Linked DNA regions of Rhinolophus ferrumequinum. Each later gene encodes a partner of the first gene's protein in a complex. Links are inferred from orthologs where the notes say so. Each region holds a gene or a part of one and is shown on either strand. Other genes may lie near its edges. The genes, in order: B9D1, CC2D2A, TMEM17 and TMEM107.

The links.
Region 2: B9D1 (region 1) and CC2D2A share a complex: the UniProt entries of both Homo sapiens proteins name them as parts of the tectonic-like complex. The link is inferred for Rhinolophus ferrumequinum from reciprocal best matches to the Homo sapiens genes B9D1 and CC2D2A.
Region 3: B9D1 (region 1) and TMEM17 share a complex: the UniProt entries of both Homo sapiens proteins name them as parts of the tectonic-like complex. The link is inferred for Rhinolophus ferrumequinum from reciprocal best matches to the Homo sapiens genes B9D1 and TMEM17.
Region 4: B9D1 (region 1) and TMEM107 share a complex: the UniProt entries of both Homo sapiens proteins name them as parts of the tectonic-like complex. The link is inferred for Rhinolophus ferrumequinum from reciprocal best matches to the Homo sapiens genes B9D1 and TMEM107.

What each region holds. Positions count from the first base shown.
Region 1 is NC_046304.1:160,184-168,071, forward strand, and holds the start of B9D1 (B9 domain-containing protein 1), read left to right. Parts: upstream 1-4,874; 5' UTR 4,875-5,048; coding exon 5,049-5,111; intron 5,112-6,756; coding exon 6,757-6,825; intron 6,826-7,888. Other genes in the region: tryptase gamma-like, read left to right, coding at 1,212-1,242, 2,024-2,174, 2,255-2,514, 3,050-3,216, 3,836-4,063. UniProt on the Homo sapiens protein: Component of the tectonic-like complex, a complex localized at the transition zone of primary cilia and acting as a barrier that prevents diffusion of transmembrane proteins between the cilia and plasma membranes.
Region 2 is NC_046288.1:78,839,148-78,846,308, reverse strand, and holds the start of CC2D2A (coiled-coil and C2 domain-containing protein 2A), read left to right. Parts: upstream 1-4,160; 5' UTR 4,161-4,327; intron 4,328-7,161. UniProt on the Homo sapiens protein: Component of the tectonic-like complex, a complex localized at the transition zone of primary cilia and acting as a barrier that prevents diffusion of transmembrane proteins between the cilia and plasma membranes.
Region 3 is NC_046296.1:26,930,502-26,937,693, reverse strand, and holds the start of TMEM17 (transmembrane protein 17), read right to left. Parts: upstream 3,005-7,192; 5' UTR 2,887-3,004; coding exon 2,787-2,886; intron 2,680-2,786; exon of another isoform or gene 2,556-2,679; intron 1,109-2,555; exon of another isoform or gene 1,064-1,108; intron 1-1,063. UniProt on the Homo sapiens protein: Transmembrane component of the tectonic-like complex, a complex localized at the transition zone of primary cilia and acting as a barrier that prevents diffusion of transmembrane proteins between the cilia and plasma membranes.
Region 4 is NC_046304.1:10,814,405-10,821,577, forward strand, and holds TMEM107 (transmembrane protein 107), read left to right. Parts: upstream 1-4,410; 5' UTR 4,411-4,577; coding exon 4,578-4,664; intron 4,665-4,822; coding exon 4,823-4,890; intron 4,891-4,992; coding exon 4,993-5,093; intron 5,094-5,541; coding exon 5,542-5,638; intron 5,639-5,866; coding exon of another isoform or gene 5,867-5,936; exon of another isoform or gene 5,937-5,956; coding exon 5,957-6,059; 3' UTR 6,060-6,661; downstream 6,662-7,173. UniProt on the Homo sapiens protein: Plays a role in cilia formation and embryonic patterning. Requires for normal Sonic hedgehog (Shh) signaling in the neural tube and acts in combination with GLI2 and GLI3 to pattern ventral and intermediate neuronal cell types.

The DNA.
Region 1 (7,888 bases):
GTGACTCAACCCCCCAAGTGTCTCCCAAAGACCCCCACTCACTCATTCACTCACTCATGCTGTCATTCGATGAGCATCTGAGCATTTAGCGAGTGGCTCCAACATGCCTGCCCTCCGTGGGTGCTCAGAGAATTGAGTGTGGTTGGGAGAGAGTTGTGACTGCGGGGCTGAGGGGCTCAGAGAAAGGCCCTGGACCACCTTGGGGGGAGGAGGCGGAAAAAAGGCAGTCTGGCGGAGGGGTTACTTACCCGGATCTTGAAGTTCAATAAGAAGCTTTCAAGCAGTGAAGGTGGAAGGGATCTTCCAGGTGCGAAGGGAGAGTGTGTGTAAAGGCAACATGATGTACTGAACACCACTGGATTGTACACATAGACATGGTTGGTTTTAGGCCATGTGAATTCCACCCCAACAAAAACAAATGCTTACGATTTTTGATTTTTAACCGGACAGTGTGTGTGCAGGCATCTAGTACTGCAAGGTTGAGGGGCAGGGAGGTGGGGCAGCAGCAGGAGGGACCCGAGGGACCCGGCAGGCCACAGAGGGCTTTGTGTCACTTGTGAAATTCAGCTGTGGGCCTGGCCTGTGTCCCATTCTACAGGGAACCAACAGGCATTCCTGGCGTGGCCCCAGCTCTCTCTACTGGAGAGCTGAGAGGCTGAGCCAGGAAGAAAGACCTGGAAGGGCTGTGAGAGGAATAATCTGGAGACTTAAGAGTCACAGCAGCCGTACTTCGAATCCCAACTCTGGTTCCAACTCATTGTGATCTCGGGAAGTCACTTCACTTCCCTGAGCCTCGACTTCCCCATCTATAAAAGGGGGTGGTAGCACTGCTTTTGTGGATTGTTGTAAGGAGCCCTGTCCTATGGATGCTACAGAGCTTTGTGGGATGGGAAGAGGTGGGGGGAGGATTATTATTGTTGCTGTCGACCGCGGTCGGCTGGTCTCTCTGACACTCACCTGAGACGGAAAGCAGGCCAGAGCTAGGAGGTCCCCGGCCCCAAACCAGGAGGGGCCAAGGTCTGTAAGCAGGATGTCTGCACCATGGTTCAGGCCCTGCCGCACAGCTTCCTCTTCCCCAGGCCAGTTCCCCTGTGCCCTATGACGTGGGCCGCATGGGTATGGGAGGGAGGGGGCATTGGGTGGTTAAATTTCCTGGGCTGACAGGGAGGAGGCCACACCCAGTGGAGTCAAGACTCGGGCCTCCTCTACAAATGCTGCCACTGCTGCTGCTCCTGCTGTTTGGTAAGGAGCTGTGGGTAGGGAGCCCGGGGAGTAGAGGGGGAAGGGATCCATCCCTTGAGGGCTGAGAATCCAGGTCTCCTGGGTGCCGGACAGAGTAGGTGACAGGCAGTGAGTAGGGGTGTCTGGCCTGCAAGGAAGAGCTCCACGTAGATGAGACCTGACCTTCTAGATTAACAAGGTGGGGGGAGGCCCAGCTGCCTTAGCAATGATCCTGTGAGAGAAAAGCAAGGAGAGCTGGACCCCCACCTGTAATGAGCTCCTGGGCAAGAAGGGGAGGAAAGCCTCCCAGAGGGCAGATTGTGGGGGGATGGGGAGAGATCAAGGAAGACTTCACAAAGGTGGGGTTTGAAGCCTGAACAGGCGTCGTCTAGGGGGAGCAGCTGGGGGATGATATGCTATACACCTGGAGGCATAACAAAGCATGAGTATTCCAAGAACTACCTTTAATAAGAAAAACAGCTAAAAAGGTATTGAACTTCAGCTTGTTTTAAATATTTGACATATATTATCACATCTAATCCTCACAACAGCCCTGTGGGTGTGACGAAGAAACTGAGACTCTGGGAGGTTAAGTAGCTTGCTCTAAGTCACACAGGATTCCACTGCAGGCAGTGTGGTTTCAAACAGGGGCGGGGGTGGGGGGCAAGAGGTGGGAGCTGCGGCTGCAGAGGTTAGCAGAGGCCTGGATGGAAAGATGGGGGCACAGAGAGGAAAGAGATGAATGGGAGACGTCCAGGATGCCGGGACCCAGAGCTGAGCTATGAGGCCTCATTCTCCCAAGGTGCAGGGCCAAGGCTTGCTGAGACCTACAGCAGAAAGGGCCCAGACACGTGGCCTTGGCAGGCAAGCATCTTCCTGGATACCCGGTACCGCTGCGAGGGGGCCCTCATCTCCCGAGAGTGGGTCCTCACAGGAGCCAACTGCTTTGGCAGGTGTGTGCAGGGTCGGGGAGGTGGTGGAGCGGGGCCCCAGGAGGGAGGACCGTAGCCTCATTGCCTCCCACTCTCCACAGCTGGCCTCAGTCCCACTACAGTGTGACCCTGGGCCCAGATCGACTGGCACTGGACACTTGCAAGAGCAAGTCCAGAGTGGAGGAGCTGCTGCTGTCCCCAGGAGGGCCCAAGGGCTCTGGGTCCGGTGGCCTGGCCCTGGCCCGGCTGGCAAGGCCACCATCTCTCAGCAGTGCCGTGCAGCCTGTGCCTTTGGCCACCTGGCCTCAACCTTTACTCAAGTGGCAGCTCTGCTGGGCCCAAGGGTTCGAGCCTGATTTCGGTAAGGATGGGAGCAGGTGATTGGGATGGTTGAGGGTGGTGAGGAGGCTGGACTGGACGAGGAGCACTGCCGGCGTGTTGCTGGGACCCTGCAGAGGTAGTACTCCTGAGTCCCTGAGCCCCAGAGGACAACCTTGCCCGGGCCAGCCGCTGGTCAGCCTCACGGACACAGACTTGCGAGGGAGAGGCAGGGCCCTGCCACCCTGCTTTGCCTGAGTCAGCTTCCAGCTCCACGCAGCCCAGATGGCTGGCACTGGGCACTGTCCCCATCCCCTCCCCAGGCTGAAGTGTGTCCCAGATCTCAGTGGGCTTGAAGCTTTCCTGAGGGGACTGTGAGAGTCTAACAGAGGACTGTTTAAGAGAGAGGTGGGGCTGAGGAGTGTCCAGAGGACTGGAAGCCCAGGAGGGTGTGTGTGGGGGGGGGAGACAAGGCAGGCAGGGAAGCTTTGCAGTATGTTAACAACTGGCAGGGCAGGACTGCTGCAAACCTGCTGGATAGCAATCAGGGCTGAGGGTCTGTCCCCACCGCCCTGCAGATCCCTACGTGCCACCCCAAGAACTGCACAGTGTCCCCTTGAGACCGCTCCACATCAGAACCTGCAAAGATGCCTTTCGCCTCCGACCTGACTGCCCTGACCTGAACGTCGGCCTGTCCAAAGGCTCCCAGTGCTCCAGGCCCCTCCCCGGGGCCCTCAAACTGGTGGTGAGGATCCCAGCCTGGCACTTGCTGGTCCCGAGGTGCCCTCCACCTCAGTCCCTCCTAGTCCCACTAGACTTGATCGAGCTAGGCCTGGTTACCCTCTCATTCCACCTGGGGTCTCCCATTCCACAAAACCCAGGGAACCGGCTTATCTGCACCCCTGATGGCCACCCCAGAGCTTCCCACCCTTGGGGTGTCTCCCCCGTTAGGTCCTATTCAAATGTGAGGCAGCCTTTGACATAGCCAGGTTGTAAACTACTGGGAGCCCCCTGGTTATTTGATAATCACAAGCATTTTGTTGAAAACTGACTTTTGTGTAATACTGAGCCTCAAAAGCCACAAGGAGGAAAAAGTTGGGTGACAGTGGTAGAATTTGTGGGGGAAAGCATTTTAACTGGGAAGACACACTGAAGGGCTGGGAAAGGGAATATGCAAGTCCCTGGGAGCAGAAATCCCTGCCTGAGAGCCTTGCGGTGCACAGGAGCCCCACTCATCCAGCCTCTCCCGACCGAGGTAGGAACACTGGCTGCCCAGGCTCCCCCTAATCAGGTCTTTGCTCACGTGGAGGGAGGGGTCAGTGGGTCTGGGCTGGCTGTAACCTGTCCTTTCCTCTCCGGCACAGGTGTCTGATGGGACTCCCCTAATCTGCTCCCAAAATCGCAGCTGGTTGCTGCAGGGCGTAATGACCTGGAGTCCCTGCATGGGGCCTGGACTCCCAGAAGTCTACAGTCCTGTGTATCCTTTCGTTTCCTGGATCCAGGATAAGGTCCCCAACGCCACCTCACCGGCTTCTACAGCTCAGCCAAGAGGCACCCTTGGGCCTGGCTCAGGCCCAGGAAGAGGCGGTTAGGGTCTTTAGCCTGTGGAGTCCTGGGTTTGAATCCTAAACTTACCTGCTGACTGTGTCCCAGTCGCCTCCCCTCCTGAATCTGCTTCCTTCTTTGTGTGATGGAGATGGATTCAGGTATTCACCTAGCTAACAAGCTGTTACAAGATGTGCCAGGGAGCCACAGATCAGGGTGGCCCTGGGGGGAGGGGGGGCGGGGAGGGCGAGCCTTAGTCCGAGTTATGACAATAATAAATAATAAATGTGCGAATGCAAACCATGAGAGCTAAGAGCAACCGGATCAATGTGTTAACAGTAGCTGCGACCCACTCGGGGCAGCTGCGGAGTAACTGTCATTTGAACAATGTCCTGACAGAGCCGTGGGTTCTGGCTCACCCCGTGGGCCTCAGTTTCCCCCTTCACACTGAGGAGCGGTGACTCGTTTCCAAGTATCCTCTGAGGTTCCTCCATCTTTGTTTAATAAACGTTTTGGAGACGACGGCCTTAAAAGCCCCGCGGGAGCGTCCCCCCGACCCGACGCGGAGCGCCCGGTCCAGCCGGCCCCCCAGACCCCGCGGCCCCGCCCCTCCCTCCGCGGCCCCGCCCCTCCCTCCGCGGCCCCGCCCCTCCCTCCGCGGCCCCGCCCCTCCCTCCGCGGCCCCGCCCCGTCGCCCCGAGATGAAGCCGCAGCGCCGCCTCCCGGCCGAGCGCTGCCGAGGCCCGCTCGGGCGGGGCAGGGCCGCGGCTGTGACGGGATTGGGCGCCGGGCTGGCTTCCGCATCCCGGCCCCCACTCCCGCCCCTGCCTCGCGTGGACTCTCCCAGCATTCCCGGAGGAGGGAGGGGCCGCGGACTGCGCCTGCGCACCGCCGCCCACGTACGCTCGCCTTCTCGAAGGTCGGGCTTTCAAGAAACGTGTTCTGCCCGCCACGCCATCTGTTTCCAGGGCAACCCCGGCGCCTGTGGGCAATCGCGCGCGGAACCCGGGTGGTTTCCGTGCGCCCCCTGCCATGGCGGCCGCGGGCCCCAGCGTCTTCCTACTCATGGTCAACGGGCAGGTGGAGAGCGCCCAGGTGAGCGGCCGTGGACCCCGCCGCGGTCCCACCCCCACGCTCCCCTGGGGACCCGCCCCGCAACCTCCTGGGCCGCTGTGTGGCCCCAAAGAGGCGTGTCATGCCTCGGTTCTGCGGGGAAAGGGAGCCAGCATTTGAGAGTCTTGGCGCGAGGTTGCTGGGAGCCCTCCACCCTGATGTGCCCGCAGAGGCGGAGCTGGGACCGAGCTCGCGCCCGGCCGAGCCTGCGGCCCCGCGCGACGATCGTGCGTGCGCCTTCTGTTGAGTCACAGCGAGCCTCGCGCGGGTTTCGCCGGAGGAGCGGAGGCGCGGCCAGCACACTGGGCCTTGTCCTCTCGTAACGGAGCTCGAGGCATCTGCCCCGTGTCCGGTGCCCTGCGAGTGCCCCGCACTCTGAACACTCAGACCCTTGAACTTGGCTGGGAATGGAGATGATTAAGTTAATTGATCCAACGATGGCGGTGGCCTGGAATGACCCAGGGAGGGTGTGCCTGTCGGACGCCAGGGGATGCTACTCGCCATTATCCATCCTCCTACATTTTATAAGAACCATTTGTGTGTGTGTGTGTGTGTCTGTGTGTGTGTGTGTGTGGTGTATAAAGTTTACTAAGTACGTATTCATTGTGTGCCATACTCGAAGCTCAGCATTGCTCATTCAGTTCTCACAACCCTGTGAAGTAGATCTTACTTCATTTTACTTCCCCATTTTACAGATGGAAAAACTTGCCCAAAGGAAGTGGCAAAGCTGGAAACTTGAATCCAGGTCTTTCTGACACCAAAGCTTTGCTCCACTGCCCTTCCAGGCTGTTGGAGATGGTGTTTATTATTTTATCATTGTGAGGATTAATGGAGATGGTTTAGATAAAGCTCTGCCAGGGCCTGAGTGTTAGTAGGTGTCTTACTGCCTTCCTGTTTCGTCAGGGATGCTCCTCCATATTCCCACCCTGTCCTCCTGCCCCTTGGCCTAGTGCCCAAGACCATCGTCCCCTCTTCTGTCTCACTTGGGGCTCTCAGCTGGACTGGGTCAGGTGTAGCATTCTCAGCACCCAGCCCGCTCCCACTCTGCCTCCCCCTCTCAGAGCTCCCGGCCCCTCCCACTCTTCAGGCCTATGCTCCCTGCGCTGATAGCCCCCTGGATTGTCAGACCTTTCACTTCAGCACCATTCCCTTAGACCTCCTCTGTGTCAGGTGCTGGGGACACAGAAAGGCATCAGACTTGTTCCTTGCTCACAGCTTCATGGGGTTGACAGGAATAAACACAGGCAAGTGCTTTGCTGGAGGGAAGCACCAGGGACTGAAGGAGCTGGGAGGTGGCCCTTCAGACAGCCTAGAAGTTAGGGCAGGCTCCCTGAAGGGTAAGTTTTGAAGGATGAGTAGGAGTTTGCCAGAGGAAGGAATGGGAAGGGCATGTCAGACAAAAGGCGGAGGCTGAGCTGAGGCCCAGGGGCGGTAACAGTTCGGGACCCGTGGAACTCCCACATGTCGAGCCCCAGTGCTCAATTCCATGTCCACATTCCTGGTTGTCACTTAGATCCCAGCCCAGGGGTCTCACGTTCAGAATGACTGTTGGCTACACCTGCCTAGCTAACATGTTGGCCTCACACGAGTTCCCATAAACAGACCCTGTGTGTGCTTGTTTCCACAGTTCCCTGAGTACGATGATCTCTACTGCAAGTACTGCTTTGTGTATGGCCAGGACTGGGCCCCCACAGCGGTAAGCTGGGCCTTAGGCCTCCTTTACAGCCTTCATGACTGTTGGCGTTTCTGAAGGTGTCAGTCGTACCCCTTCTCTTCCCAGTTTAGAACCCACCCAGTTCAGGGGGGGACCCATCCATGAGTTGGTTCCTGGTAAAGCTGGAGTGGAAAACACAAACATTACTGGGCTCACTGATCCGTGATCTGAGGCTGTGCTCACTCACGAGCCCTCGTGCGCATGGCAGCAAACAGAAATGCATGGGCAGTGCGGGCGGGCCCCAGAGAGCCAGCCTGGAAGCGGCTGAGCCAATAGACACTGTGGGCCAGTCCCTTCGTTGTTTGGCTTCTCCTCAGCTTGTGGGGAGGACTCCGGAGCTCTCCTTTTCAGACGTCCCAAGGAACACTCTGTCTCCACCAGGAGCAGGACTGTGGTGGCAGCTTCGGCCTGCATCACATTTTATGGTTTGCAGAGCTCTCATTTAATCCTCACAGCAGTTGAGGAAATAGAGACCCAACTCATTCAACCTCTCTGTTTCCTCATCGTGCAAGTGAGATGACGGTTCTTATTTTCTGTACACCCATTTGACTGAATAATTATTAAAAGTCTTCTGGGTGCCGGGGATCCAGTGGGGAACAAAGTCAGACAAAAGTCTCTATCTTCCTGGAGTGCACGTTCTTGTTGGGGGAAGACAGACACATTCCAGTATGTTAGCTAGTAGTAAGTGCTGAGGAGAAAGTAGTCAGGAAGGGAAGGTATAATGGGTAGGTGGCCAGGTAAGGCCTTGCTGAGAAGGTAGCTTTTGAGTCAAGACCTGAAGGAAAGGCCGGAATAAGCCATGTGGAAATCTGGGGAAAGAATTTGTCAGGTCGAAGGAGCAGAGAGTGCAAGGGCCCTGAGGCAGGAGAGTGCCTGGCACGTCTGAGGAACAGCGAGGAGGCCAGTGTGGCCAGTGTACAGAGTGAGCAAGGAGAGTGGTTGGGGATGAAGCAGGGAGGTCACAGACAGGCAGGTCTCAGACGGCGTGGTAGGTCAGAGTCAGGGTCCTGACCTTTCCCAGGGGCAGGATGGGACTCCCTCAGAG
Region 2 (7,161 bases), on another chromosome or scaffold:
GTGCACCTAAAATTAAGACAAATTTATATTTCAATTATATCACGATAAAACTGGATAAATGGCTAAAATGGCAAATATTATGTTATATATATTTTTACCATGATAAAAAAAATCTCACTGGACCCAAGTGTTTTATGCACAAGTTCACAGAACAGAGTTTGTGTGTGTGTGTGTGAGAGAGAGAGAGAAAGAAACAGACAGACATACAGACAGAGACAGAGACAGAAAGAGGTACACAGAGAGAGATTAGTCTGCTTTTTCTGAGATTAGAAATATCCTAAAAAAAAAACAATACAAAAAACGAAAAATAATATCATCTCAGTTATGAACATTAAGGCAAAAAAATCTAAACATTAGTAACTAAAATCCACCAATTAATTTTTTAAACGTTTTGACCAAACTTAGTGTACCCCAGAGACACAAGAAAAATTTGACGTTAAAAAGCCTGTTAATGCAATTCACCCCATTAAAAAATGAAAGAAGGATAATCATATTTGATTATCTGAAAAGACGCAGAAGAAGAGCTTGTGATGTGTGATTCAAGACAAGTTCTTGATTGGAAGCTCTTCAGCCAGCTAGGAACACGTAACTTAAAAGAATGAGAATTTTGTGTTTTGATTTAAAACAAATCTGCTAGACTCATTTATTTTGCTCACATAAGAATTTTTGCAAGAAATGATGTTTTCGAATTATGCCCTTTAATAATTTTGGAACATTGTGAGATGTATAATTCTTATGAACTGGTTTAGTTTAGTTAAATACGAACAGATAAGGAATGTCATAATCAGAAAGTTAATTAGCACAAGACTGGTGAATAAATCCTCTTATGGCAACTAACCACTTCAAGTAGATAATCTCTTACAATTAACATCTGCTATAGTCTGAACTGTGTCCCCCAAAACACAACCTCACATGTTGCTGCCCTAACTCTCAATATGACTGTATTTGGAAGTAAGAATTTTAGGAGATAAAGTTAGATGATTAAATGAGGTCATAAGGGTGGAGCCTTAATCCAAGTGAGGATGTCCAAAAGGATTGGTGGACTTATGAGAAGAGGAAGAGTTATCTCTGTCTCCATCTGAATACCCTGTGAGGACACAGTTAGATGGCAGCCATCTACAAGCCAGGAAGAGAGCTTTCACCAAAAACTGAATCAGCTGGCAACTTAATCTTGGATTTCCCAGCCTACAGAATTGTGAGAAAATCCATCTTTATTGCTTAAGCCCCACCCCCAGTCTATGGTATTCTATCAAAGCAGTCTGAGCTAAGACAATATTCACCTTTTTTTTTTCATTCATAAACCGTATAGCATTTGCATCTGCCAGGATTTGATTAACATTAAATTAATAAACCTAACAACCCTCTGTGGTCATTAATATTATTAACCCCATTTTACAGATGAGGAAACTGAAACATAGAAAAGGAAGTTGACGAAGATCTCTCTATGTTAAGATTCAGCATTCACCTTCTTTCTCTCTTCTACCTTCCTGGGACTCCACCAGATATGGCGGACCCCTTAAATTTCTCCTCCTTGACTTTCATCCATTCTTTCCCATTTTCCGTCTCTCTAGGCCCCATTTTAATTTTTTAATATCTTTTTTTTATGTCACTAATTCTTTTTCCAGCTCTCTTAACAGAAGTTTAACCCATCCTTTGCTTAAAAAAAAAAAATCATAATTTTATTATTCGTTTCTAAAAGCTCTAGCTTGTTCCTTTGCACATTTGCCTGATCTTTTTCATAGTATATCTCTCATATCTTCAAAGCCTCCTTTTAAGTTCTTTTATGGTCATTGTTTTTTTTTATATTCTCCATTTGATCATTGTGTTATCAGAAGTTCTTGGATATGCCCTTTGGTTGTCTACGGACTCTTGATTGTTCCCTCCTGTGTTGTCTAATTTTGGATTGTGAGCTCATCTTCAGCAAAGTATATTTGCAGCCATCTGGAATTGACTAGTTGAAGATATTTCGTATCTGCTCCTGCCCAGAATCCCACAGGAATACAGTAAACGGAGATCGCTTTTTAAAATGTGTCTCTTGGGGGAGCGTTCCTAAATGATATAGGTAGCATCAATAAGACAATTAAACAGCATAGTGCAAGCCAACGATTATAAATTCTGTGGAGAATATTTTTCCCACCACATGCAGAAAAGAAACCGAGAGATAACTTTCTGTCTCCTTGTGCCAGCTTTCAATCTAAAATAAAAATATAAGAGTTTTTCTTATATTACTTCTTTGATAAATTCTACCTTTTCATTTTCTTGGTTCTTTCTTTCCATAACTACATATGTGGAATTTCTTAACCTGAGATCTTCTCATTTTCTCTGCAATGCTTTTCTGTAAAGGTGATATGATAGATTTGTTTTGTTTTGTTTTGTTTTGTTTTTCCATTGGAGGATCCAGAAGTGTCAGTATCTGGCATCTGTTCTTTGTGACCATTCAGTTTCTCCAGAAAATAATTTTTCCATGTTTTCCAGTTTGTTACTGGGGGAGCCAAAGATATACTTTTGTTTGCCTCAGTTTTGTGAGAAGGAGAGTGCCCTACCCACCTCCCCATTTCATATTCAGTTTTCAACCCTGAAACACACCCACTGTCTGCTGTACCTGGGACTTGAGACCAGAGTGTCTATGGTTCAACTTCCATAGAAAACTCCAGTCTCCTCTGAGTGGCAGAAGAAGAGGGGGTGGGGGAATGGGCGTGTTTCCTCAGGCTGCCAGGAGTAAGGAAGGAGCTTGAGGACATAGCCCCTCTGTATACAGACTTCCAAATCTTGCGTTTCAGCCCCATAACTCTCCCCACTTTCCTTGGTATATAACTGTGCTAGTTTCCTGAGGCTGCTACAACAAAGCAGCCCACTGGGTGGCTTAAGACAACAGAAATATATTGTCTCACAGTTCTGGAGATGAGAGGTAAGAAACCAAGGCATTGGCGGGATTGGTTCCTTCTCAGGGCTGTGAGGAAGAATGGGTCCCATGTGTCTCCTCGCTTCTGGTGCCTCAGGCGTTCCCTGATTTATAGATGCTATTCTCTCTGTGTCTTCATATCCCCTTCCCTCTATGCACGTCTGTCTCTGTGCCTAGATTCTCCCCTTTTTATAAGAATGTAGTCACATTGGATAAGGGCCCATGCTAATGACCTCATTTTAAACTGAGTCATTTCCAAATAAGGTCACATTTTGAAGACCTGGGGGTAAGGACTCCAACATATCTTTTTTAGTGTCCCACTAAAAAAGATATAGTGGGACACTCTTCAGCGCATCACAACACTGAGCCAAAGCCTGAGCTTCTCTGGAGTTCTGCAGACTGGATCAGTTCATTTCCTCATTCTTACGCCTACTTACCCCATCCCACACATACACAGATACACACACAGACACACATGTATGTACATGGACACACAGAGGAACACACACTCAGAGATGTGCAAACATACACAGAAACAGAGACACACAGATACATACATACATACAGAGAAACACACAGAGACATGCATAGACACAGATACCCAGAGACAAACCAACCGAGACACGCGTAGAGATACACTCAAACACACCCAGTTACACACAGAGAGACACATGGACATGGACATGCGCACTAGTAAACAGACACACACACGCATACTTGGAGTGTGGCTTTCTTTGGTCGACTCCTTCCGTGCTCTTCCATCTGCTTTGCCTCTTCTCCTATCCCTTGGCTTTTTGAGCCATCACATTTATATCTTCGCTCAATCATTTCAGTGGGAGTCAGAGAAAAAGCAGAGGTTAACCTTGTACATTCAGTCTCCCACATTTAAGCGGAAAACACTGCAGAGCAGTATTTGCTGGGGCCTGGAAGCACCTCTAGGGAGCCTTCACTACAAAGATATCCTCACTCCAAAACAATGACCCATCATGATTCTAAAGCACCCGCCTCTGAGCACGGCCTGTCTTTTACCAGAAATGCCAGTGACCCCACACATGAGGGAGGGAACGGCTCTTAAAGTTTGACTTAACTTCTGCCCAGCTCCTGCCCCAGGTGGATTCTCTTTTTCCTTGTCCTGTAGGCTGCTTTCTGCTCTCACCCCCCACGCACCTTTGTGTTCCTCTACTAGGAATAACCTGTCACTTTAAGAGAAATAAAGCCACCAAGCCACCTCCCTTAGGAACACGTTGCTAAGTGCGTGTTTTTGCTGGAGACATGGCTGCAGCTTCCCAGGGAGCCGCCCGGGGACGCCCCAACATTCATCCCTTCGTTTGGACGCTTAGAAGATTCAACAGGAAGACCCAGCTCCACTTCCCTTTCATCCCGGAAAGCAGAATCGGCAAAGTGCCTTCATTAAAGGTCTTTCAGGTAAATCCGTTCTTCCCGGGAGCAGGGCTGCAGCACTGGGGTCCCGCTTTCGGTTCCCTGCCTTGGAGTTCAGCCTCTGCCCTCGGAGCCCAGAGCAGATTTCACTGACTTGTAAAGTTAGGGTCTCTCATCATTATTATTCATGCTTTACTTTCTGGAATTAAAACGTAGAGCACTACTCGGCTGCTTTGATTTGCGCTTCTGCCCGGGTTCTTGTGTATAGAAACGTTCAACGCAGCTCCTCACAAGCCTGGTGAATCCCTCCCAGCCGGTCACCCTGCCTCCTTCCTTGGGCTTCCATCCCCTCCATCCTGTTGCTTTCCAGACTCCCAGGAACATTTGCTGCGTTTGCATTTCCGGGCCTTTTAGCTCACATTGGTTCGAAGGGCTAAGTACTAGCTATTGCAAGCTTCACTTTTCTTGGCATTAGACAGAAAAGGGCCATGACAGACGGGGCTGAGGCTCCCTGCTCTCTCCAAAAAAAACCACAAGAAAATCTGCTGGCTGCGATTTAAACTGATTGTTTCCCTTCATTGCAAAGAGGTGCTATGAAAAGCAAATGAAGTCTAATGGGAAATACATGGATGTTATTAAATTTTCATGTAACTTCTGCAAATAAACTCAGCACCAGAATGAAGTCTCTCTCTGTCTCTCCTGGAGCTTGTTTAAAGAGACATTCATTCACACATTTCTTGAGCATCAGCAACACACCAGGCAGTGAGCGGGAGTTTAAAGGGTACAAAGATGCATTAGACCAGGTTAGAAGCTCAGGGTTTACCGGGAAGACAGACTTACAAACAGATAATAACAGTGCAATGAGCTAAGTGCCATAAGAGATTTATAAAAGGGTCTAACGCTCTTAGCACCCAGCGAGACCACCCCCAGGGAGCGCCTGAGACACTCAGTTCATCGTGTGTGTGCATCGGGCATACACCACCCAGCTCAGCTCAGATAGTTGTAGGTACTCTTTGAAGGCAATACACATTATATGAAGCTGATTAAATGATTCTATAAAGCCATTTGTCACTAACCTTCTACTACTGGAAGCTATGGTCAGAATAACTTATAGAAGCAGGTAATGGATTCAAAAAGGTGTGTGTGGCACCTGCCCATGGTTCTCACAGGATGGGACAGAAACAGTTAAGCACTGTACACAGGGAGAAAATACTCATGCTTCTGAGGGCAGGGGAAGGCTTCAAATCACCATGAATGGAAACGGAAAGGAAACTGCCCTGGGCCCAGCTGGGGAAGGAAGGGGAGATATTGCTTATTGGACCCATGGGATGAAGAGAGGAACCAAAGATGGGAATGGGGGACTTGAACATCACAGAAGGTCTTTCTTGTGACTCCCCTTCTGTCCGCTAAGCTCTTTTTCCTTCCCCACTCTTGTCTTCTACTTTCCCTCCCTACCACCTCCTTCTCCTGATAACACTAACCAGAATGGAGAGCGTGGTAAGTGTTCGGCATTTTACTACACACATTCTATTATTTAACCCTTATAAAATTATTACCCATCGAGGTAGGAATTAATGGCCCCACGTTCACAGACATAGAAACGTATCTCAGAGAGGTAAAGGCATTGCTCCAAGATCACACAACTGATAAATAGTGCTGGAATTGAACCCAGGTCCACAGAATTTTTTACAGAGCCCTCACTCTTTCTATAAACCCATGTTTTCACTGTCCTGGAGTAGGATGCACATACTATATTATTTTTTAAGCAGCCAAGGCTGAGATTCAAACAATGCCACCTTTTTCATCTACCTTCATTCCTTTCTTTCTTACATTCTGTAGAATTTGTCACAGGGTCCTTTTATGACTCTGATCCTCTGGTGACCCTCAGGGATAGTCTTTGCCTTGATGAAGGTGTCAGTACTTTCCTTCAAAAATGTCTTTGGTGTTCTGCACTGAGTTAAACAAATCACTGGCCTGAAGTAGCCAAAGCTCTTTCTCACTGAGGCAATGCTCCACAGTTTTCAATGGAAAATAGTTCCAGAATAGTGGGCTAGCATAGAACAGTTACTGATATCATTGAAAAAGCAAGAATATATGGCGAGACAGAGAGAGAGAGTAGTAAGGGGGTGGACTCTGGAATCACAGACGTGGGGTCAAGTTCTAAATATGGCATTTTATGACTATAATCTTGGGCAAATTAGGTAAACTGTCAGAGGTTAGACTCAGAGGAAACCTTGGTTTCCTTACATGTAAATTGAGGCAAGAGCTACTGAGCTAGAAGGGTTCTTGTGAAGCCTAGGGACAACTTGGATAGAGAGAGAGCACAAAAGAAACCTGCAGTAAATTATGGCTCTTATTTTGATGTTGCCAATAGAAATATATTAACAAGTGCTCAGTGCATATGACGACAAGTGGTATATTAAAGTTGGGGAGTATTGATTTATCTTTTCTTAGCAAGAGTGTTCATAAAAAAATAAATTTTGTTGTCATTAGAAACTCATTCAAAGGTAATGATCAGGAAAGAATGAGGAGAAAAAAATCAACCCCATTACATTTTTCATTTTCTACTTCTACTTCTTTCTTTCATACATCACACTTTTTAATTTATTAAGAATCTTTTTTTAGTTACTAAATGACTTCACAGTTCTTTTTCTCCAGTTCTTAATTGCCAGAGTTGTTTCTTAGAGAGCTTTTGTGTCCTTCAGCATTATCTGCCCCCTTGTTTTTTCTAGAGTACCTCTTCACATTTTTATTTTCTTAGCTGCTTTTATCATTTCCCTTCCGCTCTTTCTGTAGCCTGTGTGGAGGTGTAGATGGGAAACAGTTGAATTTCCAGTGCTCTGCTCCCCGTTAACGTGCTAATTCCCGATTAAAGTCAG
Region 3 (7,192 bases), on another chromosome or scaffold:
TAAATATACCACAATCCCACCCATTCATTAATATTCAGTTCAATACCACTTTTTCCCATAAATCCTTTCTTGCTCAGATCCCCTCTAGGTACTTCTTTCTCCTCTAGGTACTTATAACTCTAACCTGTATATAAGAAGTGCTAGCAAAGAACCACACTCCACTCACTCAAGACACAGTCCGGTATACTAAAGAGATCATGGGCTTTGGAGTCCAAGTAAACCTGGAACTCCCCAAACTTTCCTGTAACTCTGGATGCCATACTTGAGATAAGTTATTTAACCTCTTTGAGCCTCAATTTCTTCATCTATAAAATGGTAACATTAAAATGACCTCACAGGTTGCTTGTGAGGATTAGAGATAATATGAATTATTTCACCTTAACCATGCCTGGCACCTAAAAGGCTCTCAGTAATATTCGTCTACTTTCCTTTTCTTTCACTTATATACAGCCTCAGTGTAAGAAAAGACCACATTCTACCCAAATTTGAGACCCTCATAGACTCTAGCATCTTGCTTTACACATGGTAAATACCAAATACACATTAACAGAAAGAATGAACTAATGAAAACAGATTGTCATAAGGACATTATCAGTGTAAACCTTCATGATACATCAGTTGCATTTATTTAAGACTTATTATAGAATATGTTTTGGTTTTATGTAAGGTAGAAGGGTCCTAAAATAAGAACTTTATTTTTTAAATTGAATCGTATGCATACTAAATTTTAGTAAATTCTAACAATTTAGGGGCAGATACATATTTTGAAATCAATTGCTCTAAATGTAAGAATTTACAAAGGCTCTAAAATAAATTTTTAAAAAACAGATTTCTTCTTTTTCTCCACAACTTAGTATTTTATGTGTCATTTAATAATTTTAAAATATAAGAAATAATCATGGTCTCACAGCAATAAGGTTTCCTTTAGCTCCAAGAATATGTCTGATTATTATGATCTACTTTTAAATATTGTTATGATCTACTTTTGGTTGTAACTGTTTATTAAATTACCATTGATAAAAGAGTGAATTCTTAAAATCTGTTAAATCTGAAGGCAACTTACCATCCTAGGATTTTTTTTCATAACAACAGTACAATTCTTGGTCAGCTGTGGATATGGTAATGATAAACATAATTATAGTACAAATAATCAAACCCATTTCAGATCCACTAAGAAGAAAATGTAGAAAAATAATGATAAATTCTTTAAACTGATAATGTTAATACCTTTGGAGCAGAAACTGTAGTCAACTTTTGCAAGGAAGATTTTTTTCTTTTTAACTTTTGAACATGAGCATCTTAAGAGTTACGCTATGTGTATATTTCAGCAGATCAAATTTATAATCATGCAGTTGAAAATCAAGTTAATATGTAAATGAACCATGAAAGCATAAGAAATGAATTTACTAAATTTTGCAAAAGTACATGTTAAGTTCTGTAAATGGAATTTAAATTAAAACATTATGTAATATAATCAGGGGTAAGTAAACTACCAGCCAGCTGCCTGATTTTATATAGCAAGTGAGCTAAAAATGGTTTTTCACATTTTTAAATGGCTGGGGGAAGAATAAGCGAATAATGTTTTGTGACACTGAAAAATCATAAGAAATTCAAATTTCAGTGTCTTTATTTATAAATAAAGTTTTATTGGAAAACTGCCGTATTTTTTCAGTTACCATTATCTATACTGTAGCTGCCACAGAGACCTGTGGCCTGCAAAATGTTAAATATTTACTATTTGGCCCGTTACAGAAAATGTCTGCTGACCCATGGTACCTTGCATTATCAGATTTTAGAGCCTGTTGAGCCTTAGCTTTAGAATCAGAGATGTAAAAACCTACTTTTTCACATTACGTTTTTCTCTGTACATACTAAATCTGAAGAAGCCTCAATTTGGGGGACCTGCAAGTAATCAAGTTGAAAAAAATGCAGCTATGGGAATTAACTTTACTTTTCTCTGATCCTTTTGAAAATACCTAAACCAAGCAAAAGGGAATGATTTATATTTCCCGCAGAATTAAGTGATAAAAAACTGGATTTGGTTGACAATATGAGGTCTATCGTCATGATTTAAAAAGGGAAAACTGTTTTGGAGGAAATTGTGTTATCACTTGTCTCATGTTAAATGTATTTTGTTACCAGATTTAGGGAAAGAGTTTATAAAGGGGAACGAAAGAAGAAGGTGGGGAAGTGGGAAGAGTTTTGTTGAAGGCGATGCTAGTGTTGCCAGTGTCACTCTGGAGTGGACAGTGGTTTAAAATGACTCATTGAAAAAAAAAAACTTTCCATCTCTTCTGCCAGAAAACCGCCTTGTGGTGGAACGTACTTGTTCTGCTAGGAAAAGAGAAAAGGAAAAGATATTTTACCGGCGTGAGGAGTGGGAAAGGGTGATTCCCTCCGTCTAAGTCAGAAAACCAAGGGCTGACGTCGCAAAGGAAAAGCAACGCTGGCCTTCAAAGAGGGTGTGGGAACTGATGTGTGCTGTGAAGGCGGCTTTCATATTTTTATTTTTTGAGGAAGACCAGCTTCACCTCAGCTGCCCAGCTTGCAATTACCTGGCCAGGCCGCGGCACGATCAACCCCGGACTGGCCGGGTATCAGGGCTGAGATACGTCCCAGTCCCAGCCCCAGCTCTTGGCCCGGCCTCTCGAAGGTACTTCACCCACTGCGGAGAACCAGCTGAAGGCGAAACCGCCATTTTAGGTCTGGGCAAAATCTGGCCGCTCCAAAACCCGCGCCAGTTTCTCGGTGAGCCACACACACTGCTCTGGGCCTCAGCCACTCACCCGGACTTTCGTTGTACTCCGGCCCAGTCCGGTTGGAGTCGCTGAACACGGTCCGGCTGAAGTTTCCCAGCCGCAGACGGACCGAATCCGGCAGCTCCATGCCCGGGCTTCGGTACCGCTCACAGCTGGGTGTGCGGGCGCAGCCCAGTGCTGCGGTTCCCACAGCAACCGGGTGGTGCTGGAGCCCAGGGCGCAGGCGCAGCAGCACAGCGGGGTTGAGGTACCGGTCTCAGTCCCGCAAGCCGGGAAGGTAGGTGTTTGTGGAAAGCCAGTTCCTGCCAGGCACCTTAGCCAGGTGCGAAACGACAGATTCCTTAGTCCTGTTTTAAGCCCCAATGTCTAAAAACAAATAGAAATAATCATAAATGACCTGGGGTTGGATTGTGATACATGGACCCCTCATACCTTGTTGGTGGGGTGCAACCTTTCTGGAAGGAAATATAGAATGAATGAAGGGCTTAAAGAATGTTCATGACCCAATAGTTCCTATTCTAGTGATATATATGTATAATATTCCTAATATATAATATACTTAGAAGAGTGTGCATATACATTCACTATATATGTGTGTATATGTATATATACATACATTTGATTGAATACATTGCAACAGCTTAAAAAAATGCTTGCATCGAATATTTGATGATAAGGATTAACTTTAAGTAAAATTAAAAAAACAAGTAAAACTAAATAGAAATGAACCCAACTTAGCAAAATGTGTGCGTGTAAATATGTGGAGCGCTGAGAGGAGGAGGTAGCACAAGCACTGGCTTCAAAAAAAGACTAGAAGGAAATAATTCAAAATGTTGGTAGTTATTTCTGGATAGTGGGTTTTGGCTGATTTAAATTTTTAAAAACATTTCTGTGTTTTTCAGCTTTCTCTCAAATAAGATGTATTATTTTTTAAAAAGCCACTGAAATATAATATGCTTTTCAATCTGTGGTTGGAAATCTACGTATGAGAAGGGCCTACAAGTTATACACAGATTTTTGACTGGCGGGTCAGTATCACTAACCCTCATGTTGTTCAAGGGTCAGCTGTACAGAAAAGGGCACCAACTGAATTTACGCTTGTAACCAGCACCCAGCTCAAGAAACAACCTTACCAGCATACTGAGAAGCTCCCCTACTTCCTATTCCCTAAAAGTCACTAAACCTCCACTTCTAACTGACCTTTCCTGTTTTCTACAACATAGTATAGTTTTGCCTATTTTTATGATTTATATAAAAGTAATATTGTAAGTGCTATTTTTAAAAATCTGGCTTTTTAATAATCAAAATTGTTTTAATGAAACTCCGTCATATTGTTGAGTGTAGATTCTTTTTCCTTGCTGTGTATGACCATAACACAGTAAGTTTATTAATTCTGTTGATGAGCATACGTATTTTCTAGTTTGGACCTATTATGAATAGTGCTGCTTTTGGTGAAAATATGCCTCTCGGTGAACACTTGCATGCACTTGTGTTGGGTTTATTTCTAGAAGTGGAATTGCTGGCTTATGAGGTGTGACCCAGCTTTAATAAATGCTGCCCGCAGTTTTCTAAAGTCCTTGTACCAGTTTCTGTTGCCTCCAGCAATGTAAGCATTCCTGTTGCTCTAAATCTGTCACCAACATTTCCTATTTTCCTTCCTTTCCTTCTAGCCATTCTGATGGGTTTGTGATGAACAGTATTATTTTTACAATTAAAAGGAAAACCACAGGTATTTATATGAGTATAAATGTCAAGAGGAAGTTATGGGAGGGAACAGCTACATGGCTAGAATTTCAAAATAATTCAGCAAATGTTGATTTCATTCGTACTACTTTTTGGGACATTGTACTAGGCTAAATAGGGATATAGTCCCTCCCCATCAAGAACTTCAGCCCAGTGAGAGAGTGAGAGACATGGAAACAAATAAGTACAATACACATTAGGAAAGGAACACAGATGAGGAAGCAGTTAATTCTGGTTGGGGATGTTAGGGAAAAGCTGGCCGACTTTTGCTTTTTTTTAAGATGGATCTCAGGCCTCAACATCCTCAGAAAGGCTTCCAGGACTTTCCTGAAGTAGGGCTTAAGTGCCCTCCTCTCTGTTTCTCACAACATCTTCCTCTGTGTTACTTTGGTCCCAGCGCTAGTCACACTATGCTATTAATATAATTGTCTATTTGTGTCTGGTTTTTTTTGCTAGTTCTCAAGCTCTTTGAGTTCATAATGGGCTTTCATCTTTATATCCTGAACACTAGAGTACAGTTCCTGACCTAGAGTGGAAACTGGATGACTACTGAATGAATAAGGGGAATGAAAGGTCTAAAGATCACTCACATATCTTCTCATTTCTAGTTCAGAAACTTAGCCAGCCCTTATAAAAGTTTCACTCTATAGAATGGAGAATTTATATATTAAAACACAATGAATTATAACAATCAAAAAAAATTTTAATTTAGCAACAAAAATATCAGTTTTCATCTATTAAATTAACCAAGATTTTTATAAAGGGCAAAGTGAAGCAGGAAGCTTCATGCTCTGCTGATTGAATTACAATTTGAACAATTTCACGGAGGAAAGCAAATCAGCAATATTTATGAATTGCCTTAAAAATATTCCTGCCTTTAATGCAATAATCCTGATTTTAAGGCTCTATTTTGGGGAAATAATTATAAACACAAAGTTTTATACATCAGGATATTACTTCCAACATTATTGATATTAGTTAAAAAAGTAAAAGGTGGGGGAGCATTTGAAGTGCCTAACCAAAGAGGGGAGTTAAGCAGATCATGATGAAGTGCTGAGCTGTAGTGGAAAGGATGCCCTTGGAAGCAGAGAGAGCAGGGTTCAAATCCCCTAACATTCTCATTTTACCATCTAAGAGCTGTGTAATTAATTTCAGACATTTGTTTTGTAAAGTGAGAATAATGATAATTTACGTTATGGTTGATGTGAAGATTATATAATTAAACAGGGCTTTCTATAAGTGATAGCTATCATTGACATATCTATTTAAACAGTATGTACTACAGTGGAGTTAAAATCATGCCAGCATCTAATTTTTTGAATTCAACTGTACCTATGAGACAACACCTCTATTTTCTAGTAAAGACAGAGGATGTGATTAACCATGTTAACTAAATTTAAATCAAGGCCTGAGTGAATCTTTTAAAGATTTTTTTTCTCTCTAGCGTTGAAAAAAGAGGTGAAACACCTTGTTCAGATTGCAATTATTCCATCAAAATCCTTGGGGGAAAAGTTGACCAATTATGGGTATTTTTTTCTTTTTATTTATCATTCAAGTTTCCTGTAATAAGCGTGCCTTTCATAGTTCAAAACAAATCTTATTAAAAATAAATTGAGAGGAAGAGGCAACGGTAGTACAAAAATATATTAGAGAGGATTTTTGAGAGGAAAGGTATTGTGATTCGGAAAGAATCCTGCCATTATTGATGTCACAAATGGTCCAAAGGGCTAAAACAACTTTCAAATATTATTTTGTTAGTTGATGCTCACCGGGGGTGCCAATACACATTTTAAGAAAGGAAAACAGCATTAAAATTGTAATACTCAATATATACCAATAACAAAAGATGAATACAAGTCATGTTTGACTTCCAAGAGGTGCTCAAAGTGGTTACCAGCAGCGTCCAGACACTTCTGATTATGGTGAACTATTGTTTGAGCAACGTTGACCAAAGTGTCCACTTGTATTCACTTTTTTAGCACCCTTGGTATATAGGCAATCACATAGTGAGAACATGGATTCAAGAGCCTAGTGTAATTTAGGTTTCCCATATTCTAGACCTATTACTCAGAATATAAAGAGAGGAGTATAGAGTCTCTGTTCTTAAAATCATGGGTAGATTAGTAAATAATCCCAGCAAGATTAGTAAATAATCCTATAAACTGTTTACTTCCTATGCCAAAGTTGATGGTCAGAGTAATAGCTGCTTCCCCAATAATCGTTTAATGTATTTCATTTGGGTTTAATTGCATTTATAGTTTACTTTCCTAAATATTTTCACAAAAATTTTGAGCTTAGTATATTGATTTGTTTCTCTTTGACAAGAGGCAAAGTTGTCTGGCAGTAAATGTATTATGCTATGTGACAAGAAACTGATTGGGGGAGTCATTTAAATTACTCCTTGGCATAATAAAGATATAAATTCTCTCTACTTGATACTAATAAAGAGTTTAGAAACAATATTTTTTAAGGGAACATGTTCAATTTATTGCTTTAAAATGATATGTGAAACATTTGTAAGAATTTAGACAAGTTTAAAAGATAAGTTGTATATTTGGATAGAATATTTTCAGATATGATTCCACATCAGCATTTAAAAAAATCTTTAAATAACCTGAAATGTAATCTTATAATCCTCAAATTGTTAATGGCTAATCAAAACCTTTTTGAATCCCTAGTACAATATATTC
Region 4 (7,173 bases), about 11 Mb from region 1:
CCATTATTCTGAAAACTGGTAAATAATAGAGGGGACAAAAAACATACATTTATCCAGTCTTTCCTGTATGACCTGTATCTCGTGGTAAACAACGAGATGATGAGGGCACATTCTTATTTATAGCAGAATCCCAAGTGATAAATGCAGAAGGAATGATAGAATTAGGACATCCTTATTTTGCAACCCTTCATGAAATAATGGAGCTAGGCCGTGATAATCAATTAAACCCATAGGTGAAAAGTGATAGGGAACTTTATAATGGTTGTCTCAGTCTAAACCCACTGCTCAGATTTTACACCAGAAAAAAGAGAGACAAGCAGGCATTAAGTCCTTCCTGCTGTGATGGAATAAGAAGTACAAGCCACCACTCATAATGTATTTTTACCAGAAAATTAAACGTGGGACTTATCTCACAGCCAGTTTACAGGAAACACAAGGCACAGAGGAACATGTTAAATGACCCAACCAGAACACAGCCCATAAATGGCCTGATGTCTTCAACAGATAAATTTCAAGAAAAGAGAAAACAGGAGGAAGAAGGAGGGAGGAGAAGAACCTGAGATTAAAAGAGATTTAAGAGACACATGAACCAAGTACAATGTATGGACTTTATTTGGACGTGATTCAAAGAAACTGTAAAAAAAAATGTTTGAGGGGGCAATTTGAACTATTTGGTGATGTCTGAGATTTTACTTGAAAATAAGCTAATAGGGATGGGAGGGAGAGTATAGAGGAAGCAAGGTTGGTCACGTGTTGGTAATTGTTGATATAGAATGATAGGCTTCAAAGAGGCTCCTTATGCTATTTTTTAAATTTGTATATACGTTTAAATTTTTCCATGACAAAATAATTTTTTTCTAAGTTCTTTTATGACCAGGTCAAATAAATGTTAGGACGTGAGAGGGTTCCAGCTCTGGAGTGAGTGAACACCAAGTCAGCAGCAGTACCTCCTATGACCACAGGGCGGCTCCAAAACGCAACGTTTTTGAGATTTCTCTAGGTCACGCTTCTGTGAACCAAGGTAATGGAAAAATGACAGGACATAGCTAAATGCCTGCCTGCTATTTATTAATCCACAATGTGAAATATGACTACGCGGTTCTTACTATCTAGTCAGTCCCCCAGTCAGGAAGCCTATTATAAGCAGAATGCCCCAAACTTCCAGCTGCTGGAGCCCAAAATCTGTCATCCTTGACCTCCCTTTTTTTCACCAACCCATAGCCCCATGTTCAGACCTTCTTATCTTCTAACAATCTCTTGATTCCTTCCACTTTACCTTCTTGATTCCACCCTGTTTCAACCTCATCCTGTCCTTCCTGGATAACTCTATGGTTTCTTCACTAGCCTTCTATTTGAAATCTTCCTAAAATTCATTTTCCATGTTGCAACCAATATCATCTTTTAGAATACAAACCTGATCATGTCCTTCCCCATGGTTGCAAGGCCCAACATGATTTGACCCTTGTCTGTATATCCCATCTCACCCTGATCTTTTTTCCCCCTTCCATTAGCTAGGCTTCAGACACACTAGCTTCCGTTCTGCTCAACAAACACACTGGGCTTGTTCTCACCTAAAGACTTTTGCACGTGCTGTTACTCCACCTAGAATGCTCTTTCCCCAGATTGTCACACAGCTGACTCCTCTATATTCTCTTTGTTCCAGGGACCTCATTTTGTAAAAGCAGGTCCCAGTCTTTCCTCATTTTCACACTATGACAATGTTTCCTTCATGTGCGAACAGTCAGACTTGATAAACTGCCACTGGAGGAATTTGGCTCTGAAGGCCCTGGCTTTCCACTCTTAGGAGAAAAGGCTTGTAAGTTATAGGCAGAAGGAAGAAAAGCATGAGGAGGCCTTCGGTCCTTGCATCTTGTCTATGTGCTAAGAATGTTTCCATGCTTGCTACTCTGTAATTTCCACGTTGGAGAATACAGGATTTCCACCTCTCATTGTACTTTAGGTGTCATCAGTGTCACTCATTTTGAGGGTCTCACAGTGATGAGGGTCACCTCAAGGGAGAGAAACAGTTGGGTCTACTGTACTTGATGAGTTTGCCTGTCCGGCCTGACATAGGGGAGGTTTGTAAATATTTTCAGAACTTTGAAATGGTTCAACAGTTAAAAGAAACTCCCCCTGCACATCTGAGAGCTGAGAAACCAGTGTGGGTAATATTTGATTATCATCCAATATTTTTTTGAGTAGAGAATAAAGAGATTTTGTGGACCTCACTCTTGATAAAAATAATTTCTCTGAAAAGTCTAAATGATTGCAATTTTTATTTTATGAGTTTTGGAGATCAATTGTCTCCATTATGAGGAAAAGGTTGTGCTGTATTATATGTAAATACCATTATATGGTTTCAATATATGGTCCAACATTTCGGGAACTGCAATCCTAGAAATCATTCGTTTCATAAAGCAACTTAATGTCTCATTAATAATATTGTATAATACCTGGAAGAAAAACTTTAAAAGGGCTTATCATGTAAAACTTATTTTAAAATAATTTTATTTACAGAAAAGTTACAAATACAAAGAATTCCCATATACCTTCATCGAAATCATGTTTGTTTTATCATTCTATCTCTACAGACACATATATATTTTTTTCTAAACCATTTGAGAGTAAATTGCAGACATGCCACTTTATCCCTAAACACTTCAGTCTTTAGGACATCTTCTTCCATGAAGACAATAGAATTATTTTCAAAAATCAGGAAATTAACACTGATCCATACTATTATCTAAGCTAGAAATCTTATTCAAATTTTGCCAATTGTTCCACTAATGTCCTTTATGATAAAATAATAAAAGAAATGAAGTTATTTTTTTCCTGGTCCAGGATCCATTAGGATAACACATTAAATTTGTCATGCTAAATTTGTCAGGTCTCTTTAGTCTCCCTTAATCTGGAAATGTTACTCTCTGTCTTTCATGACCTGAGGAAACATCTTCTGACTATCTTTTTGAGTTCTGAATCTTTTCACCCACTGGTTTAGAAAAAGGAAGTCCACTTATTACACTGGGGTCCTGGAAGAGAGAAATGTGTTTCTTCACAATTTAGACCACATTTCCTTAAATAAAGGTTAAGAACACATGACCCATTTTCAAAGAGCCTTTCCTTAATCAATATTATTCTAGTGTTTCCCTTTAAAATTTTTATTTATAGCACATAGTACCATGCAGATTTGTTATTTATTTGCATGTTTGCTGTCTATCTCCCTGACTGGACTATAAACTCCATGAAGGTAGAAACTTCTGTCCTGTTCGTCAAGAACAAGAGCCCAGCACAGTGCCTGGCACTTACTAGCTGGTCAATGAATATTTGTTGAATGAATGAATAAATAAATCAATCAGAAATAGAAATGCCTCTTGGACTTGCAGTTTAGACCGCCTTAAAAGAACTGAGATAGGGAGTGGGAAGAGAGCTAGCTCTTCTGGAAAGTGGGCAGGGAGGTCCCTACAAGAATGTTATTGGACTCTGAGCAATAATCACAGGTGAGAACTTTCCGTTCTTTAGGGATCCCCGTTGAGGCCCAAAGGTCAGTGAAGTCGCCGACAGTTAGAAGTTCTTGGACTGTAACTGGGCAAAGTCGGGTGTCCACACCTGAAAGATGTAAGGAAATCGAAGCAGTCTGCATCGCTGCCCTCTCCTCGCCTCCCAGGGACGCGGGTACCATTCCCTTCCTCCAATCCCTCCTAGTCGGCTCCGTAGTCCACTCCCTTCCCAAAAGACGCTTCTCATCCACATTCTAGTTCAAGAGAGCTGGCCATTTTCTGCACTCTGCAAATCTCTCGCCAAACTGAGCAAAGTTGTCTGAGGGGGAATCAGAATCAAGGAAGGTTCAGGTCTAGGGTCCTAGAACAACCAGGGGCTCCGTGACAATAAGTGACAGCTGGACAATCTAGGGATATCCACCTCTCCACGTTCGGCTTCCTTCGTCTCTTCGGGCCCAGGGCAGTGGGATGCTAGAGAGACGCGGAAGAGGAAAGGAGAGAAAGTGTCCATGCCTAAGGCATGGGGGTGCCCTAAGTCCCGCACGGCGGTGACAAGGGTCAGCAGCGAGTAACTCTTACGCGGAAGGTCATCCTGGGCTACGCAAGGGGGTGTGGGCCCGGGTCGCTCCTGAGGTAGGACATCGCGGAGGAACGGGTGTTCCCAGGCTAGGACAGGGCGGTTTTCCGTCCTCTGGACCCGCGTGGGAAAATTCGGCGGTGCGGGACCCAGTCACACAGCACAGTCTCAGGTGCAAACAGACGGCTCGGCTGCGCGTGGGGAGCTGGCGGGAGGCGGGCACCCTACTGCGACCACCCTCAGCTGACCCCAGACCCACGCTCTCCAGGAGGTCCACTGCGACTCGAGAATTTACTGATCTCGCGAGATTTTCAGAGATCCGGTCCTGGTGTCCGCCTCCGCGGTTGCTAAGGCAACTGGGCGGCGCCAGTGAAAGCGGGAAGACGGCGTACGTCGAATTTTTGCCTGCTAACCTGGGAGACTTTCAAGAGTGGCGCTGCCTGAGCTTCCAGCCTTAGAGACCACGGCCTCTGCTCCAGGAGGTGCCCTTACCCCTCGGAGCCATGGGCCGGATCTCGGGGCTCGTGCCCTCTCGCTTCCTGACGCTCCTGGCGCATCTGGTCGTCGTCATCACCTTATTCTGGTCCCGGGTAAGATCCACGGCCACCCTCCACCCAACCCCCATTCCCACGTCGGTGTGGTCCCAGCCCAACACCGCTCTATCCCCAGGGCCTGACCCGGTTGGGTCTTCCTATCCCCCGCTGCCCACCCCTCTTTCACTTCTCTTTCTCTGTGACCTGCTCAACAGGACAGCAACATCCAGGCCTGCCTGCCTCTCACGTTTACCCCTGAGGAGTATGAGAAGCAGGACATTCAGTGAGCACTTGGGGAGGGGTGGTCAGAATTAAGTAGTAGTTGGAGTGGAAGGGTCTTAGAAGAAGTCCAGAAGGCCTGAGCCAACCCCCTTCCTCTCTGCAGGCTGGTGGCAGCGCTGTCTGTCACCCTGGGCCTCTTTGCAGTGGAGCTGGCCGGTTTCTTCTCAGGAGTTTCCATGTTCAACAGTACCCAGAGCCTCATCTGTATCCTTTCTGCCTGCGTACCTTTCCCACAGGGGCCATTGCCATCGCTACTCCCTTCAGCCACCTAACTTTTTGGTACAATAGTGCCTGCCCTAGCAGGCAAACAGAATCTCTCCAGTTGAGAGATCTTCTTAGATAATTTAATACAATCTCTTGTGTAGCCTGGGGTAAATTGGGAACCCACTTCTACCTCATCTGAAGAGTCCAGGCTGGCCCCTAGATCTGGGATGGGGGCAGCCTGCGGTCCCAGCTGTGCAGGCTCAGCTCTAGCCTCTACTCACATGGCTGTCCTAAAACTCAGAAGGCAGGGCTACTGGCTCTGTGCCTTCGCAATTGGCGAGGGAGCAAGAAATGAACCAGACACAGATGCCAGCCCCACCACTGGCCTTTTCTGGTCCACCACTGCCTCTGGATCCAAAGACTTTCCTTGACTCAGGGGCGTTCCCAGCCATCGGGGCTCACTGTAGTGCGTCTGTGGCACTATCCTTTTTCATATTTGAGCGTTGGGAGTGCACCACATACTGGTACATTTTTGTCTTCTGCAGGTACAGTAACATCCAATGTTTGGGGATGGGATGGGGGAGGAAGGTTTACTGTAAATCTGAAGGTAGCCCCACCCAGCCCTTTACTCCATGTGTGAGATACCAGATCCACTCAAAGTCCTGTATTTAGTTTTTTGAAGTCCCGCTCCACCTATACTTTGGGGGTGGGGTCTCTGGTTCGGGGATTTTTATTGGAAGGGGCCCTGAACCCACCACCTTAACCTTCCATAGTGCCCTCCCAGCTGTCACTGAAATGGCATTATTCATCAGCGTCTTTGGGTTGAAAAAGAAACCTTTCTGATCACTTTCATGGGAGCCTAGGGAGGAAGGCTGGAGAAGCAAGGGACCATTGACCGTTCCTGGAAGGAGGAAAGCAAAATCTTCAACCTTCCCCCGTAAGACTGCATTTGGTGGAGGATTTTAAAGTAATTATCTGTCGAGTCTGGGATTATCAGCGTTTTATTTAATGATTTGTAATAAAACCTATTTTAGAGTAAGATCAAGGCTTACAAAAATTTCAGAGGAGAATTGGGGTAGCCAAACTACTAGAGAAACGGAAGGCTGTTTTCCTTGCAGATTGTATCGCTTTTTTGGTTATTACGGTAGACGCCGGGCAGAAGGGAGTGGGCGGAGATATGTAAATAAGTAATGCCAGCAGGACTGCAAGATCGTGGAGTGGAGCATTCTGGGGAAGTTAGTTTATCCCTTTTGGCAGCCAAATGGGGAAAAACCTGTATTTTAAAAAGATCTGCAAATAAATGTAGCAACAGAAATGTAAGAATATGAATATTTTAGGTAGCTCCGACTAACATGTTATATTCTCACCCTTGCTTATAGCGGAATCTTTTTTACTGAATATGGTAATGCCGTCAGAAGTTCCTTATCGTCAGGTAGGATAATCCTTACCTGTTCCTCTTCGGAGGACAGATTAGAATGTGATGATTGGAGTTCGCATGATTCGTGATTAACGTCTCTGCGTAATCAGGTCTTGCAACACCCTGATTGCTCCTATCTGATTCTTCCTGGCGATCATTTCTTTTACAATTGTAGTAGTTGGAGTTTACTGGTTGTAGGTTTTACTTAATGAGTGGTTTTGTTATCTCGTTGTTTTAGTTTGTGGAGTGTCTTTAGGCGGATTTGTTTGGAAGCTGCTAGTTCCGTTTTCTGACCTTGAGGCTCTACGTTAACATACAAGATTTTTCTTTCAATTTCTGGGCCAATTCAAGTGCCGAGTACTCCCAGTTTTTTTCTGGAGAAATCTTTGTCACCAGTAAATGTTTTTTGTTATCTCTGGGCTTTGCTATCAAACGATCGTTAATGTTGATCATACCACGTGGTGTCATAAATGGTCTTTTGTCAAACCTTCCACCTCACCATGGTGAGAAGGGCACGTGCTCAGGGAGAATTTCTCTGGTGGTTGGAGCTCCTACCCAGAAACCTGGCAAACCTGTTGTTCGCAGAGGAACACTCCACCTGTTAGCATCTGCCTGCTAGCACATGAAAAGAACATGTTTAAAAGAAAAATTATTAAAACACAC